Linked DNA regions of Neodiprion lecontei. The protein of the gene in region 1 interacts with the protein of each later gene in a pairwise test. Links are inferred from orthologs where the notes say so. Each region holds a gene or a part of one and is shown on either strand. Other genes may lie near its edges.

The links.
Region 2: the proteins of ufm1-specific protease 1 (region 1) and ubiquitin-fold modifier 1 interact in binary tests that used the Drosophila melanogaster proteins (3 or more experiments, as listed by UniProt). The link is inferred for Neodiprion lecontei from reciprocal best matches to the Drosophila melanogaster genes Ufsp1 and Ufm1.

What each region holds. Positions count from the first base shown.
Region 1 is NC_060260.1:30,653,651-30,657,581, forward strand, and holds ufm1-specific protease 1, read left to right. Parts: upstream 1-1,767; coding exon 1,768-1,902; intron 1,903-2,265; exon of another isoform or gene 2,266-2,399; intron 2,400-2,712; coding exon 2,713-2,883; intron 2,884-2,998; coding exon 2,999-3,355; 3' UTR 3,356-3,360; downstream 3,361-3,931. Other genes in the region: uncharacterized protein LOC107223302, read right to left, coding at 1-93, 175-325, 434-582; dynein axonemal heavy chain 10-like, read right to left, coding at 3,794-3,931. UniProt on the Drosophila melanogaster protein: Thiol protease which recognizes and hydrolyzes the peptide bond at the C-terminal Gly of UFM1, a ubiquitin-like modifier protein bound to a number of target proteins.
Region 2 is NC_060263.1:16,361,983-16,367,050, reverse strand, and holds ubiquitin-fold modifier 1, read right to left. Parts: upstream 2,954-5,068; 5' UTR 2,814-2,953; coding exon 2,809-2,813; intron 2,615-2,808; coding exon 2,558-2,614; intron 1,103-2,557; coding exon 972-1,102; intron 895-971; coding exon 821-894; 3' UTR 664-820; downstream 1-663. Other genes in the region: protein tumorous imaginal discs, mitochondrial, read left to right, coding at 3,236-3,413, 3,660-4,132, 4,289-4,552, 4,635-5,068. UniProt on the Drosophila melanogaster protein: Ubiquitin-like modifier which can be covalently attached via an isopeptide bond to substrate proteins as a monomer or a lysine-linked polymer.

The DNA.
Region 1 (3,931 bases):
AATCTTATCTGCTAAACCACCTACAGTTGCTGCTGCGTTAACAGTCATTGATACGACACAGCGTATTACTGAGATTAGGATATTACTTACAACCTGTTGAGTATTGAAAATAACGTTGGTTTAATAAAACCGAAACAAATTTCGGAGGCTGTAAAATTTCATAAAGTTACTTACAAGACCATAAAATGCTAAGTATATTGGACTGCTAGTTGCACGCAACTTAAGCCTCGCTCTATTAAATCTTGCAGCGATGAATATGAGAAATATCAAATTTGGAATGAGTATTACAACGTCCCATATTCTCACTCTGAAAATAAAATGTTGCCTTAGAGCAATAGTAAGAAATGTAGTTTTGTTGGTCGACTCGGCTCTTGAAGGCTTATTGTCGTAAAACTATTTTGATTTCGTCATTTTAAAATACTGTACAAGTTACCTGGAATCTGCAATTTCCTTATATAAAATCAATTTACAAAAGTAATCTTCCTCTCCCATAGCCAAACTAATGTTTGGATCTATCGTAGTGCCGAGTAATCGTCGAAAGTGTACCTCAGACACGGTTTCCAATTCTACGTTACCATACATTGTTTTCTTACACAATGAAAGACTCTATACAAATTTTAGGCATAACAGTTTCCCATTGAATACGTAGGTGGAATTCTGAAAGACAAAAGAAATTGCTTACTAAATACATAATAAATTTAAAAATAAACTGTTCCAATCACAACTTAAGCAGCAGATGAATCTCATAGGTTTATATTGAGAATGATGTCAAGTATGCAAACAGTAACGAAGAATAGAACCGCAAATTTTAGATTAATTATTACACTCATGTAGGGTAAATTTGTTGTCAATAAACAATGTGACTCTAAAATTTGCTATCGCAAATCAATTCTTTGGATAAATTTATTCACAGAACAAAGAAGTTCTAAAATACTGCGTAGAAGTTTGCATTGATTTCGAGTATAAACATAACCTTCTTAAGATCCCATGATAAGTGTTGCGTTCGAAAGGTTGAGTATAATTGATAAACAGAAATCAGATTCCCAGTTAGAAAACGAATGAAAATACGCGTTAAGGGATTTTTTTACAAGTAAAGTAAACGTTGATCCGAAAATTGATAGAGATGCAAAATTTTTCGAGCTGTCAAACTCTTTGTCAAACGTTAAAGAAAATATGTAGTCGCATAATGTGTTTACCGTAATGAAATTATTTTCTAATCAACTTACGGATTATATGACTCCCGATAGTGTCATAACTCTGGAGAAATGAACTCTCTGTGATGAGGCTAAGCAAAAGTCCCGACTTATCGTGGTGTCGAGTGTTTTTTCAACCTTAGGCCAAATGTTCAATGCCCATTTTGTTCTCTGTAGCAGACTACACCATTCGATAATCTGGAAGCAGCGATGGATGCCGACTTTTCAGGTTCTGAGCGGTACAACGAGCTGTGAATTATTCGCCAAGCGAAGTAACCCCATACCGTGTACTTTGCAGCGAGTATAAAAAGCGCGATACTTGTTGGCCGAGAAGTCATTACATCTCGGAGAAAAAAATTATTCGCGAGATAGGATAGGTACTATAACAACATGGCTATCGGTTCGTTGATTCGTGGGTCGTGACGCACTTAACGCTGTCAGTGTCAGGTGACGCTGGATTACGTTGCTCAGCTCATAAACATGGCAGCTCGGTTTTCAAATTACTCAGAGAGATAACAGGCAATTATTTCACATTTTACCGCTGATCTCGCGTGTACCATTCGCAATAATTGAAATGGCTAGCGATTATTCGAACCATTTGTTGAAAAACGTGCATTTAGGTTTGTCACAACCGGCGAACGGTGAAAGTTTTTTTGTCACAAGCGAATACGAGTACTGGCATTACGGCTGCGATGGCGTAAACGACAGGGTAAACATATTTAATCAAGTTTTTGCACACGAGTTACTCGTGATACACTATTATTCAATAACATTCTCGAACGCGGTACAATCGTGAGTTTCTGATTCCCCTATGTTTACTCGAATACTTCTAGCCAAAGCTTCCAACATTGCAAACGTTAACAAATACCCGACACGCTATTGGGTAATTTCATCTGAAACGACCAATGGGATCGTGTGTACATATTTTAGAAACTTACACTACGGTTAATGGCACTGTTAAATATTATTTAATCACTGAAACTCATTATCTGCATTACTTCATTATACAATTATATCTTACATCAATTATTATTGATGTACAATTACGTTAAATAACCAGACTTTTACTTACATTGAATCATGGTCTCGCAATTCCCTGTGCGACTTAAAATCTTTACTGCGTATGTTCCGAATAAATTTTTAATATCGTGAATAAAATTTAGATGTTTGAATCTGTCGCGTAGTCATACGTGATCTCAAAAGTTGTTAAATATTATGTGAAATATGCACAAAAAGTACGTTTTTCATATCTGCCCGCGTAATACAATTGTAAACAAGGGAAAAAGTTATTGTTAGTCTTGAGCTACAGATTTATAGTCCATTTACGAAATATCTAAATATATGAGAAGTATTTTTCTCAACTGAACTCCACTGCACTAATATTTCTTCCTGGAGTTCCAAGACCTGACTGAAACAGTCTGGTTAGCAAAGATTGCTACGCTTGGCGAAGCATGAATCCTCATAAAAGTAGCGTAACATTGAATTAATGTAACTTAATAAAATTATTATTATTATTCAGGGATGGGGCTGCGGATACAGAACTCTGCAAACTATCATCTCGTGGATTGTAAAGAATTTGGAAACTGCTAGGCCTGTCCCTAGTTTGAGGGAAATCCAAGAGATTCTTATTAGTCTAGAAGACAAGGAGAGCTTTTTTCTTGGCTCACGAGACTGGATCGGCAGTTTTGAAGTGAGAACAAATTTTTTCTGATAAAGCTACCACTCTCTTGAAAATTCTAATACTGTACATTTCCGTGTATTTCCCCGCATGTTCTCATTTAGTCTCTTCTTCATTTTATTTCAAGGTCTGCCTCGTCATCGACCAGCGTTACGGAGTTCCCAGTAAAATTATACATGTACCTAGTGGTAAAGATTTAAAGAAGTATTCGGATGCTATAAAACAACACTTCATAGAATTTGGCAGTCCAATAATGATGGGTGGGGATAGAGATTGCTCTAGTAAGGGAATTATGGGTATACATTACAGTGCGAAGGAGATAAGTTTGCTCATAGTAGACCCGCACTTTGTGGGCAAAGCTAAAAACGCTGAGCAGTTAGCCAATGATGGCTGGGTGAAATGGCAGTCTTTGACAGATTTTGTAGACAGTTCGTTTTACAATCTTTGTTTACCTCAAATAAAACATAAATCTTTTAGCGAATAAATCAAGAAAAAAAAATACCCCTACTTTTTTTTCCTGAGATAAAAGATGACAATGAAAGTCAGTTGTTTGCAGTAATGTTGTGTAATCACTTGTTCAATGTTACATTATCCTTATATTGACTACGAAGTGAGGAAAATCAACAAATTCGAGTTGATTAGTTTGCAGTACTTGAAAACGAAAAAAAGCATAAAACTTTGTGCTCAGTTAATAACACAGATTCGAAAACTGTATAAAGAATATTATGACTTACTGATTCTAAGCAAGTATGTGCGGCATTTCTTCTTGCGGCTTAAATGGAACGGATACTTACATGTAAAAGATTCATGCGATACATTTCCCACATGCATTTAGGTAAAAATAAATTCTCTCCGTCTCCGAGATTTAATATTTGCATATGTACAGACGAACTCCTCTAAAGAAAACTTAATCACGAGATTGTCAATCTGAGTTCAGCAGTAGACATACACCCTGCAGTACCCAATGTGAAATATGCTCTGTAGTTGCCAGGTCTGCTTCAAAGACCAAACCAACACCCATAGCATTGCGTCTGTTCGACGTCGTGTATACTGGCGTTTT
Region 2 (5,068 bases), on another chromosome or scaffold:
TCTATCACGTAAGCCTATTTCTATAATCATTATTTTACTGTGATTCATTCATTCATTCATTCATTCACTTTCTTTTTCATATTTTCTGTTGCTTTCATTACTATTTATGAACAATTTAGATCCAAGCGATTAAATTTCCAATACAGCAATGCAGTGTTATTCCCAACACAGAATTTCAAATTTTATTGATGTAACACTATAAAAAAATGAATATCATTATTTCTAAATTTGCTGTTAGAAAAAAGGAACGAATGATACTTTGTACTAAAACTTTCCTTTGGTATTCTGTGCTGCGAATGGCATCCGTCGTGTATACTGTAATTTGTCGTGTAGTGATGTACCTTTGTATCGACCTTGTATCTTTAAATGTATTTCATCTATAAAACATTTCTACCGAATGCCTTCAGGTCCCACGTTACAAAGTAGCACCCATGTTCGGGGATCCCTTCAATCCATCGATTTGTTGCGATTTCCAGTGAGCGTCTCAGGGTGAAATTTTGAAATGTGCAATCATGAGAGTTTATTTCACCTTGTCAAGTAAGTCAACATCCTTTTTCCCCCCAAGGTATTTTCGTCTCCTGCTATATTGTATCTACATACCTATCTGGATGCAAAGAGTGTGGGGTAATAAAATTGAATAAAAAAAATCAATAATGCAGTATGTAGGGAAGCATTGATATTGTCATTATCATTTTTATTGAAAATCAATTTCAACTTTCAATATTTACAAATCAATAATATATTATCATTTAGTTTTTTCTTTCTTCAAAAATTCAAAAAAAAAGAAAAAGAAAACGGAAAAATGTGTAGATTATCGGAATCAACTGCACTGGTTGCCCACTCTGTCTCGTGGTATGAGCCTCAGTTCGGAGCCGTGTTTCAAAAAGACGTTGCCTAAAAAAATCATTAATCATCACTACGCGTGTGAGTGAAAAAAAAAGTGTAAAAAATTTTTTAGAACTAAGTTTTACCCGCTGTCTGTTGCGGATTGATTCCTACACCGTCGTCAGTGATGATTGCTGACGTAGCCGGCGCTACCTTGAATTCTTCAGCAGCAAATTTAAGTACTGCGGTAAACGGTGTGTTGTCTGGAACGCTGAGTCTGTAAAAAAGCAAGGATTTTTTTGTTTTTCTCTACAGTCAATCAAAGGTGCGCTTTAAATAATTTGGGTTTATCTCGCAACATGATTTAATGCAATTGGGAATGATTGTCAAGAGATGAGAAATGAATGTTCGAAAGTTAAGGTATTACGTAAAAAAAGTTTAATAGTATCTTTGAAAAAATGATTTGTACACATGTTAAACACACAGCATTTTACACGTAATATAACTATACAGTATTCAACCAGCTGATACCTAGTTTACTGTTGTAAGGTCGATCAATCGTCATGGTTGTATATCCTGCCAAACGTTGGGCATTGGATCATTTTTAGCAAAGTTTAGCGTCTTATTGACGTATCGACGAATTGTAGAAGGACCACTTAGAAAAATTTTCATAAAACTCACAAGGTCGTTGTGTTTAAACAGATTTTTAGACACCCAAGATTCGCCATCGTGCGTCATATTTCTACCAAAATAAAATATAGTATCTACGAAGCTGGTTCGAAAACCCAAGTCTTCAATGAGGATTTTGTAAAATAGTTCCTCTTCGAGATCTAAAAAACTCAGAGTGAATTCTACATCGTACGCGTTTAATTTCGACACAAAACAATTCCTGAGTATCTTTTTGACACTGTTTGTCTCAGTTAGTTCCAAAAAAATCCTAACGAGCTTAGGCATGAAACCATCTTTCAACATTCTCTCGACGCATTCTGAGACCTCTGTCTGTTTACCCTGACCTGTTACATCCTCCCACGATTGAATCATAGCGTCATCGTCGAAATTCGAAATATCTATACCCAATTCCTGTAACAAATCTATCACAGCATTGTTGGAAACTGACTGGATTAATAATTGTTCAATAAATTGAGCGAGTCTGGGCTTTCCGCATGACTGTATGTACAGATTTATCAACTGATCGACTACAGCCGTTGAAACAACAGTGCTTTTCATGTAAACTTCAAGGAGTTTGTCACAGGCTTTTTTTAGAATTGAACACGGGTAAAAGTAATTGCGATTTTCGCTCTTCCACCAGTCCCTCAAATGGTTCTCAAACATGTCTAGCTTGTTTTCTTTCTCTGCTTCGACTATCGTGGCCTCTACGAACAGTGCATAGCTAAATATTTGTGACACGCTTTCGATATTAGCCTGCGCCGCAAGACTCCGGCTTTCTATTATGGTCAAGTACCTATCGATCGCTTTCAATATCTGTATAAACTGAGTCTCTGACACGTTATTTTGGCAGCTCATCGTTAGTAGGAAAAACTTTATTTCTGTATTCATAGGCCAAATTCCGTCGCTCTTTGGAGAGTAAATGCCTCCGCATCATCTGTTCAACAAAACGAAATAAAAACAGATTTTTTTTCTCAAAATTAACAGTCTGAATAGGGTGTCTGTAATGAATATAGATATAATTCTCCAGTCTCTGCTTTGTTTACAAATTACATTTTATACTTACACTTTGAAAGGTAGCTTTGGATCAGACGTGAGAGTAATCTTGAACGTTACTTTTGATCTGAAATCATTCGTAATTTCAAATTACATTCAATTCAATCTTTCATTATGATCTGTCATTTCATTTCCTGAAACAGATGTTTGTCAGCGCGTGTGACCAGCTTTGTCAATTATTAGAATTGTCTAAGTCGAATCAAACGAAATTTAGCAATAAGAGTCGTGCGATTTTATGACAACAACATAAAATATACTCACGCCATGGTTAAGGACGCCCTTTATTACGCCAACTAGAATTGAAGAAATTAATTTCCTATGTATGGGAATAACCTCAAAGGAAATAGAAGCGACACAATTGTGTGTGACCCGAAGTTGGCTGAATTATTACATCCGATTGCGAGAGATCGAGATATCGATATATAGCTCGACGAAAATCAGTCTGAAGATCGCCAACTTTATTGATTTTAATCAGCCAAAAACACGTGTCTTTGGTGCAAAAGTACGTAATAACAGTGAATACACAATAAATTCTGCTTAAACGGGAGAAGAAATATCACGGCTATCGGGTATTGCAATTTGTAGACGTTGAATGAAGAATTTGTGGAACATTCGATCGGTCCAAGGGTAGTATTCTTGTATTTCAGTGGTCACGTGACAGTCGCCCGCATGTCCCTTCATATCAAAGATGGCCACGACTAAGGGTCTTGCGGTAATTCTTCGGCCAAAAAGTATCTCTTTAATCGGTTGTAATAAGTTGAATAATCTAGCATCGGTCACCTTACAACAATGCAACACCTGTCGGCGTCTTTTCTCGGGCTCGGCGCTTGGTGTCGAGTTGTGGAGTCATCGGAAATACGAAAAACGTAACGCACCGCATACCGTAGACATTTCTAGATTACATCATGCCCTCTTCATGTTCGCGACATCGTCTCGTTCTAAATTCGCCTGACTGCTTGCCGCAAAGTTGTTTAACCGAGCAAAAGGGTTTCACCTTCGTCTGCCGATCTCACGACCTGTTTCACCCTCTTTTAGACGACCGTCGTTCATAACCTTAAATAATTTCCAGCACTTGTGACTATCTCATTTTTAATCAAACGTTCCTTTTGCAGATATACAAGCGAAATCGGCGCCGCTTCCGCGCCGCGGTTTTCACACCACCTACAAGCTTTTGGCAAGGCGTAATTACTACGAGATACTAGGCGTGCCGAAAAACGCCTCTCAAAAGGATATCAAAAAGGCGTACTATGAGCTTGCCAAAAAGTATCATCCCGATACAAACAAGGGGGATCCCAATGCTGGAAAAAAATTTCAGGAGGTATCCGAAGCCTATGAAGTGCTCAGTGATGAGGGTAAAAGAAAGGAGTTCGATACCTGGGGTGCCACTTCCGAACAGATGGGCATGGGTGGTGGTGGACAGCGCCAAGGAGCTCAGGACTTTGGCCAAAATTGGCAATTCAGATCGACCGTCAATCCCGAAGAATTATTCAGAAAAATATTTGGCGAGGCTGGGTTTCAGACCGGAGGATTCACCGAGTATGAGGACTTTGCTGAGAGTAACTTCGGCTTTGGAGCATCGCAAGAGGTAGAAAATCACTTGTTACAAATTGGTATTTTTTTTGCAAATGAAGTAATTTAATTTGCATTCTATAGTATTCACTCTACTCACGTTCCTCATGTGTAACCTTTCAATATTTAACTGACAAAACTTATACCTATGCTTTGCTTATACGTTTCCTAGGTCATCATGAACTTGACATTTTCCCAAGCCGCTCGTGGTGTTAACAAAGATGTAAACATAAACGTTGTGGACACATGTCCGAAATGTTCCGGAAGTCGTTGCGAGCTAGGTACAAAGGCGGTACGCTGTCAACACTGCAATGGAACTGGTATGGAGACAATAAGTACTGGTCCATTCGTGATGAGATCGACTTGTCGCTTCTGCCAGGGATCCAGAATGTATATCAAGTATCCGTGCGGTGAATGCGAAGGGAAAGGTCAAACGGTAAGTTCAATTTTTCTCTGCAACTTTGAACAATGAGAATAGAGAATGATGCTGACACTCCTCGCTGATGAAACTTTTTCAGGTGCAACGTAAAAAAGTGACAGTCCCCGTTCCAGCTGGCGTTGAAGATGGTCAAACAGTGAGAATGGCGGTGGGCAACAAAGAAGTCTTTATAACATTCCGGGTTGAGAAGTCAAAGTATTTCCGTCGCGAGGGTCCAGACGTCCATACAAGTGCCGAAATATCATTGGCTCAGGCAGTTCTTGGTGGTACAATAAGAGTTGAAGGTGTATATGAGGATCAGACGATACAAATACGCCCCGGTACTTCTTCGCACACAAGAATACGCCTAACCGGGAAAGGTTTAAAGAAAGTTAACAGTATGGGATACGGCGATCACTATATTGAAATAAAAATATCCGTTCCGTCGAATCTGAATCAGAAACAGAAGGCGCTGCTTCAGGCTTACGCAGAGTTGGAAGCTGGTACACCTGGTACCATACACGGAATCACGTT